Linked DNA regions of Oryzias latipes. The protein of the gene in region 3 interacts with the protein of the main gene of each other region in a biochemical or structural test. Links are inferred from orthologs where the notes say so. Each region holds a gene or a part of one and is shown on either strand. Other genes may lie near its edges.

Evidence for each region.
Region 1: of the proteins of uba1 (region 3) and ube2r2, one has a biochemical effect on the other in vitro, tested with the Homo sapiens proteins (5 studies listed by BioGRID, with this or other methods). The link is inferred for Oryzias latipes from reciprocal best matches to the Homo sapiens genes UBA1 and UBE2R2.
Region 2: of the proteins of uba1 (region 3) and ube2g2, one has a biochemical effect on the other in vitro, tested with the Homo sapiens proteins (5 studies listed by BioGRID, with this or other methods). The link is inferred for Oryzias latipes from reciprocal best matches to the Homo sapiens genes UBA1 and UBE2G2.

Annotation. Positions count from the first base shown.
Region 1 is NC_019863.2:17,248,031-17,251,530, forward strand, and holds part of ube2r2 (ubiquitin-conjugating enzyme E2 R2), read right to left. Parts: intron 3,062-3,500; coding exon 2,964-3,061; intron 1,494-2,963; coding exon 1,359-1,493; intron 1,238-1,358; coding exon 952-1,237; 3' UTR 1-951. UniProt on the Homo sapiens protein: E2 ubiquitin-conjugating enzyme that accepts ubiquitin from an E1 ubiquitin-activating protein, and catalyzes its covalent attachment to other proteins by an E3 ubiquitin-protein ligase complex.
Region 2 is NC_019879.2:26,801,107-26,803,960, forward strand, and holds the end of ube2g2 (ubiquitin-conjugating enzyme E2 G2), read right to left. Parts: intron 2,354-2,854; coding exon 2,235-2,353; intron 1,182-2,234; coding exon 1,041-1,181; intron 969-1,040; coding exon 856-968; 3' UTR 501-855; downstream 1-500. UniProt on the Homo sapiens protein: Accepts ubiquitin from the E1 complex and catalyzes its covalent attachment to other proteins. In vitro catalyzes 'Lys-48'-linked polyubiquitination. Involved in endoplasmic reticulum-associated degradation (ERAD).
Region 3 is NC_019865.2:13,790,528-13,794,027, reverse strand, and holds the end of uba1 (ubiquitin-like modifier-activating enzyme 1), read right to left. Parts: coding exon 3,406-3,500; intron 3,300-3,405; coding exon 3,214-3,299; intron 2,832-3,213; coding exon 2,739-2,831; intron 2,205-2,738; coding exon 2,013-2,204; intron 1,921-2,012; exon of another isoform or gene 1,800-1,920; intron 1,699-1,799; coding exon 1,597-1,698; intron 1,511-1,596; coding exon 1,410-1,510; intron 1,328-1,409; coding exon 1,192-1,327; 3' UTR 275-1,191; downstream 1-274. UniProt on the Homo sapiens protein: Catalyzes the first step in ubiquitin conjugation to mark cellular proteins for degradation through the ubiquitin-proteasome system.

The DNA of each region.
Region 1 (3,500 bases), on a different chromosome or scaffold from region 3:
TACAGCATGTTTTCATCATTTACCAGTTCATGTTTGTTTTGAACTCAGAAGATGCTTTTTAATTCAAGAATGTAGAAAATCCAATCAAATAAGACAGAATAGAAAAATGTGTTGAATTCTCTTTACAACTTTTGCTGTAAATAATAAGTTTAGGCCTGAGCTTCAACATAAAGTGTGAAATTAGACAGTAAGGTAATTTTGGCAGGCTGATTTATGGAATAATAATTCTTAATATGGATAACTATTTTACACAAATGGAGGAAATCCTTAAATTTGACCAATTTTTTTGTATATTGAAAAATGTAATTCATTTTTGCATGATGGTAGACCTTTATTTTGAAGCACTGGTCAATCTGTTCTCTGAAGGACTGTATGGTGCAGTCTGAACAGCTTTACAGATGGGGAAAAATAGCAACACATCTATTATAATAAATCAATCAATAAAACAACAAACTGACTGAACTGAATGATGTGGTTTGTTTTAGCAAAGATTTGTTTAGTAGATTTTTCACTAAGCTGGTTTCACAATTGTTTGTTTCATTTAATTTGCTCATTAATTGTAACCCTTACGGTTTGGGGGATAATGTTTGATGTGGATTCAGTAACTTTTCTGTCCCAGAACAAGATTTTAGAAGATAAAATGATGTCAACTGATGATTGAACACTCTAAATTGTAAGGACTAACTGTAAAAACTGTGAACTAATTTAATCATGAATTCTGCAAATATCTTGAGTGCAAGCTGTATTTAAGGCAAACGGTGGAAACACCGAATTTTGACTTATGAGGACTGCTGCTCACAAGCATTTACTAACAGCTGTTTTATAAATGATGAAAGAAAATTTTGGCAGTAGACTTTTGAACCCACTGTGTGTGCAAACATTTGCAGACGCACACACACGCTGACAAAAGAAAAGGGGTGATGGGGGAGAAAAGATGGACCGCTCTGATCATCACGAGTCTTCGTTGCCAGAGTCGTCCTGGTTGTCATAGCGTCTGGTGGAGGTATCCCCGTCCTCCGAGGTGCCAAGGCCCCCCGCCTCACCTACAGACTCCATGTCGCTCTCATCTTCGTCTTCGTCCTCCTCCTCCATGTCATCGTCGTACAGGTCGTCGTAGAGGAGGTCGGAACTGCTGTCCTGAGAGGGAACCCGGGTCTGGACGCAGTACTCTGCCAATGTGGTCGGCACCTTGACTCCATCCCGCTCCGCCTCCGCTGCCGTCGAGATCACCTGCTTCCTGTTAAAGAAGAAAGCATAAATGAATCTGAAGTTTTTGTGTGCGTTTCTTTTCATAATGAATGGATTATCATCAAGCAGCATCAACTGCAGGTTACGCTTCGTCACAGACAGAGCAGTACCTAATAATCTCTGCGTACTCTTTGTCTTTGCCTTTGCTGTCCCTCCATTTGCGAAACATAACCGACGCGTCCACGTTGGCGGGGGAAAAGGTGTTGGGCTCATTGAGCAGAGAGATGACACTCAGCAGAATGGTCCTGCTCACAAACAATGAAAGACAAACAAACAGGTAAGAAAATGAGAACATTCATTTGGACGTCATGTGAAAGAAAGGTGCCTTTTTAAAGCTTCAAAGGCTTCGCTCTGGCACATTCAGACCCCCCCCCCCCCCCCCCCCCCCCCCCCCCCCCCCCCCCATGTGGCTCAATTACACGCTGCATTCAGTCCGCTCTGGCTTCAAAAGACAGACTCAGCATTTTACTTCAACTCTCTTCAACCTGCTGACATGCTAAATTTTAGAGGAGATGCACAAACCATCCCTGCTGCGGCATCTCCCCTTTAGCTCCACACAAAACGAAGGCACGCCACATAGAAGCTCACACAGGGCCAATGTTGATTTGCACCTCAAAATCTTCTGTAAATGACCTTCTGTGCTTTGTTTACTGCTGGAAATGCTTTCAATGAATACATGTGTTTTGATAGATTAGTATTTATTGATTGATTGGTGTATTTCAAGCAATGACATGAAGAATGCTGAACATGAGAAGTTAAATCATATTTGAGTATTGTCTTGGGAAAAGAACTTCATTTCCCATGATGCATATGACTGATATGGAGTTTTGGTAAACTAGTTTTTACTGCAGAAAAGTTCTGTGAGAAATAACAACATTTCACTTTTGCAAGCCCATATTTTTTTTAACATTTTGTGGGGTTTACAACAAAAACTTAGTTACTTACTTCATCGAATAGAAATTATCCATCACTGGTCAACAGTGGCAATGAATCTGGCAGGTATGCCAATTATTTAAGATGCACATTCTATTTGTGACAATAAATTTTTTTTTGTTTCTTGCAGATGCCTGTGATGTCATTAACAAGGTACAATATTAAATTAAGTGGGTAAAAGGGATGATTCTTTTAACTTTTATTGACTACGTGGCACTAAAACTATGTTAAGTGAAATCCACCCAAGCAAAAACGATTCCAAATGCATTTAAACTATTACTGATAATGAGAAGTGGCGGCTGTTTTTTTTTTTTTTTTTTTGAGCTGGCAAAACATTTGAAGTTCTGTCACTTTCGGCTTTTCCCATCAGGGGTCGCCACAGTGAAACAACCTCTCTTATGAGGATGAGTCGCATGGTAAACTTGGCAATGTTTTACGCCAGATGCCCTTCCTGACGCAACCCTCTCAATCTAATCAGGCTTGGGACCGGCACAGAAGCAGAGAAGGGGAACAAGGAGCAGCCCAGATTCGAACCCTGGTTTCAAGGATGGAAGGTGCCGCAAACCAGCACGAGCTAAACCATGTGAAGTCGATGCAGAAAATGAGTATATTTCCATTGAGGTTCTGATACTTCCTGGTCTAAGTAATTAAGGAGGTTTACAGACCAAATATGACAATTTTAAAATAAAAGAAATGAAAACCAAACCTCTCTTTTATGTCTCCCTTTATGTTTCTCTCTATGGGGGAGAGAAACATAAAGGGAGGCTGAACTGGGAAATTACCTCACATTCTGGGTGGGGTTCCACCTCTCAGAAGGTAGCTCTCCACTCTGTGGATCATCAACAGGGGGGTGCAAGATGGAGATGCACACATCCCCGTTCTGGAAACAGACCGAATGCCATTACATATGTGGTAGACACAGCCTCAGATGTAGTTAAAATCCAAGTTGTTATTAAAGGTTTTCCAAAAAAAACAAAAAACGAATAATGTGTGAGCCATTCAACACTAGAATAAACTGGCTGAGCTTTGGAGAAGTTGGAATAGTCAAGCAGCGGGCAGCCATGCGTTCAGCATTTATTTTAAATACGGTAAATATCTATGAGGCAAAGTCATTTTAATAAATCAATAATCAAAAAAACATTTTAATATAACAGTAATAATCCTTCTCTAATTTCAACAAATGTGTTTTTCTGTATTATAAAAACACACGGTGGAGTGAAAAAGAGTTTGCCTGTCCTTAATTCTTATCTGTTTGCATGTGTTACACCAAAATGTTTCTGCTCTTAAGAAAAATATGTTTATTTAAAAAAAAGGAAAAA
Region 2 (2,854 bases), on a different chromosome or scaffold from region 3:
CAGACGTACAGTTTTAGGCCAGATTCCAGCTCGGACGAGGAAAACGAAGGATCTATTTGTTTGCAAGTGGATGCATCAGAATGCAGTGAAGCAGGGAGCTTTAGACCAACTGATTATAGTATTTATGTAACAACTACAAGCTTTTTCAAAGGACATCTTTATCATCTGCTTCTGAGTCAGCACAAAATGGATAAAGAAATACTTGCAACAAGTTTTCTTTAAATAAACTGTAATCCTAGTAAGATTACTCAAAGGTCTAAAATCTTAGTTGTGCTTGAAAGCTAAACACCTGACTTTAAGAAACTGTGACTTACAGATCAACCTTCAGACAGGGTTTGAGGAGAATCTGAAGGATCCAGAACTTTGAAGAGTCTTGTGTTGTCTTGTCTTCCTCTTTGCTCACCTCCTTCCTGGTTGACTGAAGTTATGCAGCGATTCACGGCTGCAGATTCCCACACTTCCTCACATTTTGCAGAGAGTAAACCAACATAACAAGCACCTCACTCTTTCATTGCCTTTATTGATCTATTTGTGAAATCAGACAAATCCACAGGAGACGTTGCAGCAGAGCTACGACGGCCCGGCTGTGAAAGCCCAACTGCGCATCGTGAGGATCCTGCGTCACGAAGACAGACAGTCTAAAAAGTCCGAAGAAGTCCAACGCCGCTGTGACCACTAAAGCAAGAGTCTGGGGGAGGAGACTAGCAGAGGAGGTAAGAAGACATGCAGTGTACGGCTGCTGACGCGCCTTGACGAGCACCCTCCCATCAGTCTGTCCATGTCAGCGGCTCTGTGTGCTGGTGGTTTCCATGGTGATGGTCTTTCACCGACAGACGCCCTGACGAGACGTCCTCCTCATAAACCCAGAGACCTGCGGACGATCTTCTGAGCCAGTTTGTTGAACTGCTCTCTGTCCTCGCGCCACATTTTCGAGGCATCGACGTTGGCGCCGCTCTCATCGTTGGGCTCTGAGGACGACAGGTTGAATCTGTGAATGGCGCCGAGTCCCTGCTGGTGTCAGACGCAAACGAGTTCCATACCTGCCAGCATGCTGACCACGGAGAGCAGGATCTTCTCCACGCTCTGGACTGGACTCCACCTTTCGGCGCTGCTCTCGTAACCCATGGGATCGTCACCCGGGGCGTGGAGGATAGAGATGCACACCCGTCCGTCGGGATAGACTGGGGCGGGGGAGGAGAACGCTTTAGTTCACCGGTTCTAGCTTCTCTGAACTCTTAGCAACTTTTTTTTTAAACTGCTAAATGGGATTATATTTCATTTCGTATCGTCTTTTATTTTTTTACACTCTCTCCCGTTAGCTTACAGCCCCTCACAACCCCAAGCTGAGAGGTGCAACAAATATGGTGAAAAATGTTGGATGTTTCCCGCCGAACAGTTTTAAGGACGTTCATGGATCTAGTCGTCCAGAAGTGTGTGCATTGGAAGAGAGTGGAGCAGTGAGACTTTAGCCTGCCCCTTGGAGTTTCTACATCACAACTGAGAGCGTTTTTGTTTTGTCATCTGCTCCTGATTTACCATGATTTAAATTAATAAATACTAAGAAAGGCAGTTACAAGCTTCGATGCTCTATGTCCTCTATCACAAGAAAAATGCAACAAAAACATTTTAAAAACACCAAAACCACATATTCTATTGGAGTGGGTCTTTAATCTGATCCTGTTTGGACCCCCTCCCCGTGCAGGGGGTTTCAGGGCGCTGCCGCTCGGTCCAGCTGCAGGAAATCTCCTCTGAAAACCGAGCCGCTGTTATCGGCAGCTTCCGTTTCATCTTTAACAGTTGCAGCGTGGAGTTCGGCTCAGGGCCATGCTGGTGAAGATGAGCGACAAGCACTTCGTCTTCTCATCAGCACTGAGCGCGCTCAGAGCGCTCGTGTCCTGACATCACGGCTTCGGCCCCACTAATCAGAGAGCGGTAAAAACACGCCAACAGCAACAAGCTCTGGAGCGTGCCGAGACAAGTCTGCAGACGGGCTAAGACACAAGACGTGTGTGTGAGTGGAGGTGTGTGTGTGTGTGTGCGTGTGTGAGTGTAGGGGTGTGTGTGTGCGTGTGTGAGTGGAGGTTTTAAGATCCAAATTTCAGTTTTCCTGAGTCATCAAGAAGATGAAATCAAACGTTGCTCCATCACAGATACTTAAAGCGGTCGCAGGTTTGTGCGCTCAACATCTGTTGCCATGGTGACGAAAGCAGGCACAAAGCCGTGGGCGGACTCACTGTTGGGGTGAAACATGTCACAGGTGAACCTCATCTTGGGAGGACTGAGAGGATAATCGGAGGGGAAGCTGAGGACAGCGGGGAACACTCCGCCTTCGAAACACGTGTCTTCGGGGCCCCTGAAACACAAACGCACATGCGGCGGTGAGAGCCTCACAACGCCAAACACCAAGAAAACGCAACAACGACACTGGAGGCTAACCCATCGCCTGGAGAAGCTTCAAACTCCGTGAAACACCAGAGAGCGAGGACTTGTGGAGAGGATCCTACAGACCTTGTAGTTGGATCCTCCTGCTGCTACTGTATTCCTCATGGCGTAATAAAAACGAACAGCAAGAAAATCAGCAACAAGTCTCAGAAGACCGTGTTGGGATAAAATAGAGTCTCCACTATTTTCTGGTCTTTGTTGTGGAAATGTTGAGAGCTTTTCTCCACCAGCTGATCTTTCAGGGTATGTCTAGACTAGGAAAATCCTTTGTTCCGGATCGAGTCCTGAACCCTGCGTTTGGTCTGTATTCAGACTGGCATCAAGCGGACCATTCTGCTCCGGACCAAAGCTTTGGTACGGCAGAGGCACGCTGCAAGGCAGGTCACTGGCAAGGAGGCGTGGCGCGCGAGGA
Region 3 (3,500 bases):
ATTTGACGTAGAGTGTCATATTAGACTGTGGTTACCAACTGATCTAGTTTTAGAAAACTTAAATATCACATAACCTACAGACATTTTTTCCACAGTAAATAGTCAACCAGTCTTTTAGCTGGTGAAGCTTATTTCCTGCATGTGATGCTCCACTTCACTGCTGAGCAGCATAAACCAGACTAGACTCAATAACCAAAGCAGACAACACACATAATTAAAATCAACGTCACACATTTTTACTGAATCAACTGAAAAGAAAAGACAGACACACAGGCGAGTTTTTCCATGTTTATTCACTATAACACTAAGTGCTCCCATTCAAGATACATCTCAACGCTTCGCTCTTAGATTTAATTAATTTTGGAGTTAACAAAGTAGAAAGACAGTTTGATGATCTACCAACTGTGTGCCAAAACTCCTTCCAAACACCCCCCCCTCCCAGAAAATAAAATAAAATGGAACAAAACACATGACATGGAGAGCATCAAGAGAAAACTATTGTGGTGTGCAGCAGCCTGAAGAAAGCCAGAGTGCTGAAACGAGGCTTTGAGGGTGCTTCAAAGTGAAGGAAGGGAAGGAAATTCATCAGTTTGATGCTGTAATTCCATTTCCAGTTGAGGAACAAAAAATAAAGGGAGAATTGGGTTTTTACGTTGTTGAATAGCCTTGATTTAAAAAAAAAAAATCATGTATTAAAAAGTAACAGTATGAGGGGACAGATCTATTAGAAATGGGCTCCAGAAGAGAGGAGAGCAAGCAGGGTGTGTTTGAAAGCTCTGCTTCAGAATGATAGTTAGGTGTTATTGTACATACAGACTAGTTGGGCTTTGCAATGAGGGCACCGAGGCTTTTGAAGTTTAAAGGTTCTACTACAGAAAAACATTAGGATGTCCAATTTACATGCTCCCTCCCTCTCTCCAACAAATCTCCTCTTCCCACAGTCAAGCACAGAGTGGAACTGTAACACACAGACAGGTATCCTTCTGTCAGCTTACTGGGGCTATGTACAGTCAGGCACAGGTTTAAACAAACCACGGGCCTAAAAAAGGAAACCAATTGATCCAATAGAGCCGATCTGGATCAATCCACCCACCCTTTGTCACACCACTATTTCCCCACTAAGAACACCCCCATTCCTTGCATCCCCCCCTAGCAACTACCACCCTCCTGTGGGTGGTCTCCGGGTGAGGCTCAGCGAATGGTGTATCTGACGTAGGGCACTTCCACATCTTCATCTGAAGTATCGTTACAGCAGAGCTCGAACACCAGAGCTTTAACGTGCTTGCCCAGCTTCTTTTTGGACACCTTGGTCACAATCTCAGTCATCCTGCAGAAATCAGAACAGGAAAAACTCAGTTTGTGGAAGGAAAACGTAAAGAGGCTGGACTCTCGCGTATGCAGTTACTTACGGTAGGTCAAGCCTCTCTTTAAGCTTGGCAGCGGGCATGAAAAATGAATAGAGCATGGACACTCCCTGAGAAAGCATGGTGATCTCCAGCTGATGCTCGTTCTGCCAAACAGGGGAGAAAAAACAAAGTTACTCATTGCAAAAACAAAAAAAGTTGGAGAAGAAGCACCTAAATTTGCTGAACATACTTTAAAGTAATCCAGAAACTGGCGGAGTGTCATCTCTTCACCGTTGGCCTGCATTCCTGTTACTTCAAAGCGATCCCACAGACTCCATTCAGTTTCATAGTACTGGAAATAAATGAAAAATAAAGTTACAGCTACTGTAGGTAAAAAAAATAGACATCACACAGAGCTGCAACAATGCTATAAGCGCATATTTGGTAAACACGTCTCCTCAGCACACACTGATCACACCAGTGTGAGAAGGTGAGTTGAACTCACTTGCATCCAGTCAGAGTTAATGCAGCTGACTGATGCATCAGTATTAGCATGGCTGAATCATCACAGGAGCCAGAAGCAGACTAAAACTTTATCACTGTGTCACAATCGTCACACGTTTTATAATCTTTACAAACTTGTGGGATAAAACAGCAACACCTCACCTTATGTTTTGGAGCAGCAATGGGCTCAGAGTAGGCAAAGAAAGGCAGGGCTAAGTTCATGAAACCATTCTTGTACGTCTCAAGCTTCTTGTGTCCTTGCACGACCTTGATGAGCTCCAGGCAGACCAGGCCAACAACTGCAGCGGTGGTGGTGGCAATGGCAGGAATGATCTTGCCGGCAATCAGTTTGCTCTGGAAAGAACAGTAAACCAAAAGAGAAATTCACAATCGATCAGCTAATGAACGGAGGTTAAACAATGAATGAAAAACACTCACTTTGGTTTGCTTAACATTTCTAATTTATAAAAAACATACAGACCAAGTTTGAGGACGTTTTATATGTCACAATCACTCCTTCCAAGGTTAATTGGTTACTCTAAATTGTCTCTCACATAAGTGTGAATGTGAGAGTGCATGGGTGTGATTGGGGCCCTGCGACAGACTGGCGACCTGTCCAGAATGTCCCCAGCCTTCACCCGCAAGTGGCGGGATAGGCTCTGGCATCGCCGTGACCACAAAAGGGAATAAACAAATTAGAAGATGACCGAATGACTCCTCCCTTCACCAGTCCAGAAAAATTCAGACAGATACATTATTGAAAGAGAAAGAACAGGGGAAAAAAACTTAAAGTATTTCTGCCCAGAGGTTTTGCTATGCGAGAATCAAAAAAACAAAAAGACGCCCTTGTTAGTTGGCCAAATGAGGTCATGTGAATGTTTAGCCCACCTTGTGTCTGTCTGCAGGCGGAATGTCATAGTTCTCTGCTCTAAGGTTGGATGCGGCCACAATAAAGTCCATGTGGAAGTTGGTGTCATCATCCTGGAGGGGCAGAAATAAAACCATTTTTAAAACATTTCTTCTCGGGTGATCCATGTTCTTCCTACACTACAAAATAAATGAGGCTGTAGCAAGTAAAAGGGGGTAATTTAGTGATAAATAGAATGACATTTTCTAAATACAAACACACAACGGGGTTCATTTGCATAGAGAATCACGTTATTACGACATACAAACTAATAATGACATTCACGTTTCATTCATCTAGTAAATCGATTTTTACTTCTACGTTCCTGTATTATTTTGATGACAACAAAAAAATATACAGAATTACTTTTTACATTTTTTTTTAGAAATGACAAACATTTGTAACATGACGATCAAAGAAAGACTGATTATGTCTGACGTGAAAGAAATTGAGTACCTTTTCAAACTCGATGGGGTTTAATTTGAACTGGAAAGACTCTGGTGACGGCAATTTGGTTTTTAGTTCTTCCAGTTTAGAGTCATCTGCATTAAAGAGATCCATGTCACAATAGGCCTTCAGCAAAGACAATTATACACAAACATTTCTGAAAGATTTTCAATGCTGTCTTGTGCATAAATACGGTCTTACCAACAGAAGAGTTGCTCGATTGCAGCTCCTGGTCTGAGACGTGAATTTTAACCCCAGAACGGGGGGTAAAAGTGGGCACCTTGACCTCTTGCAAA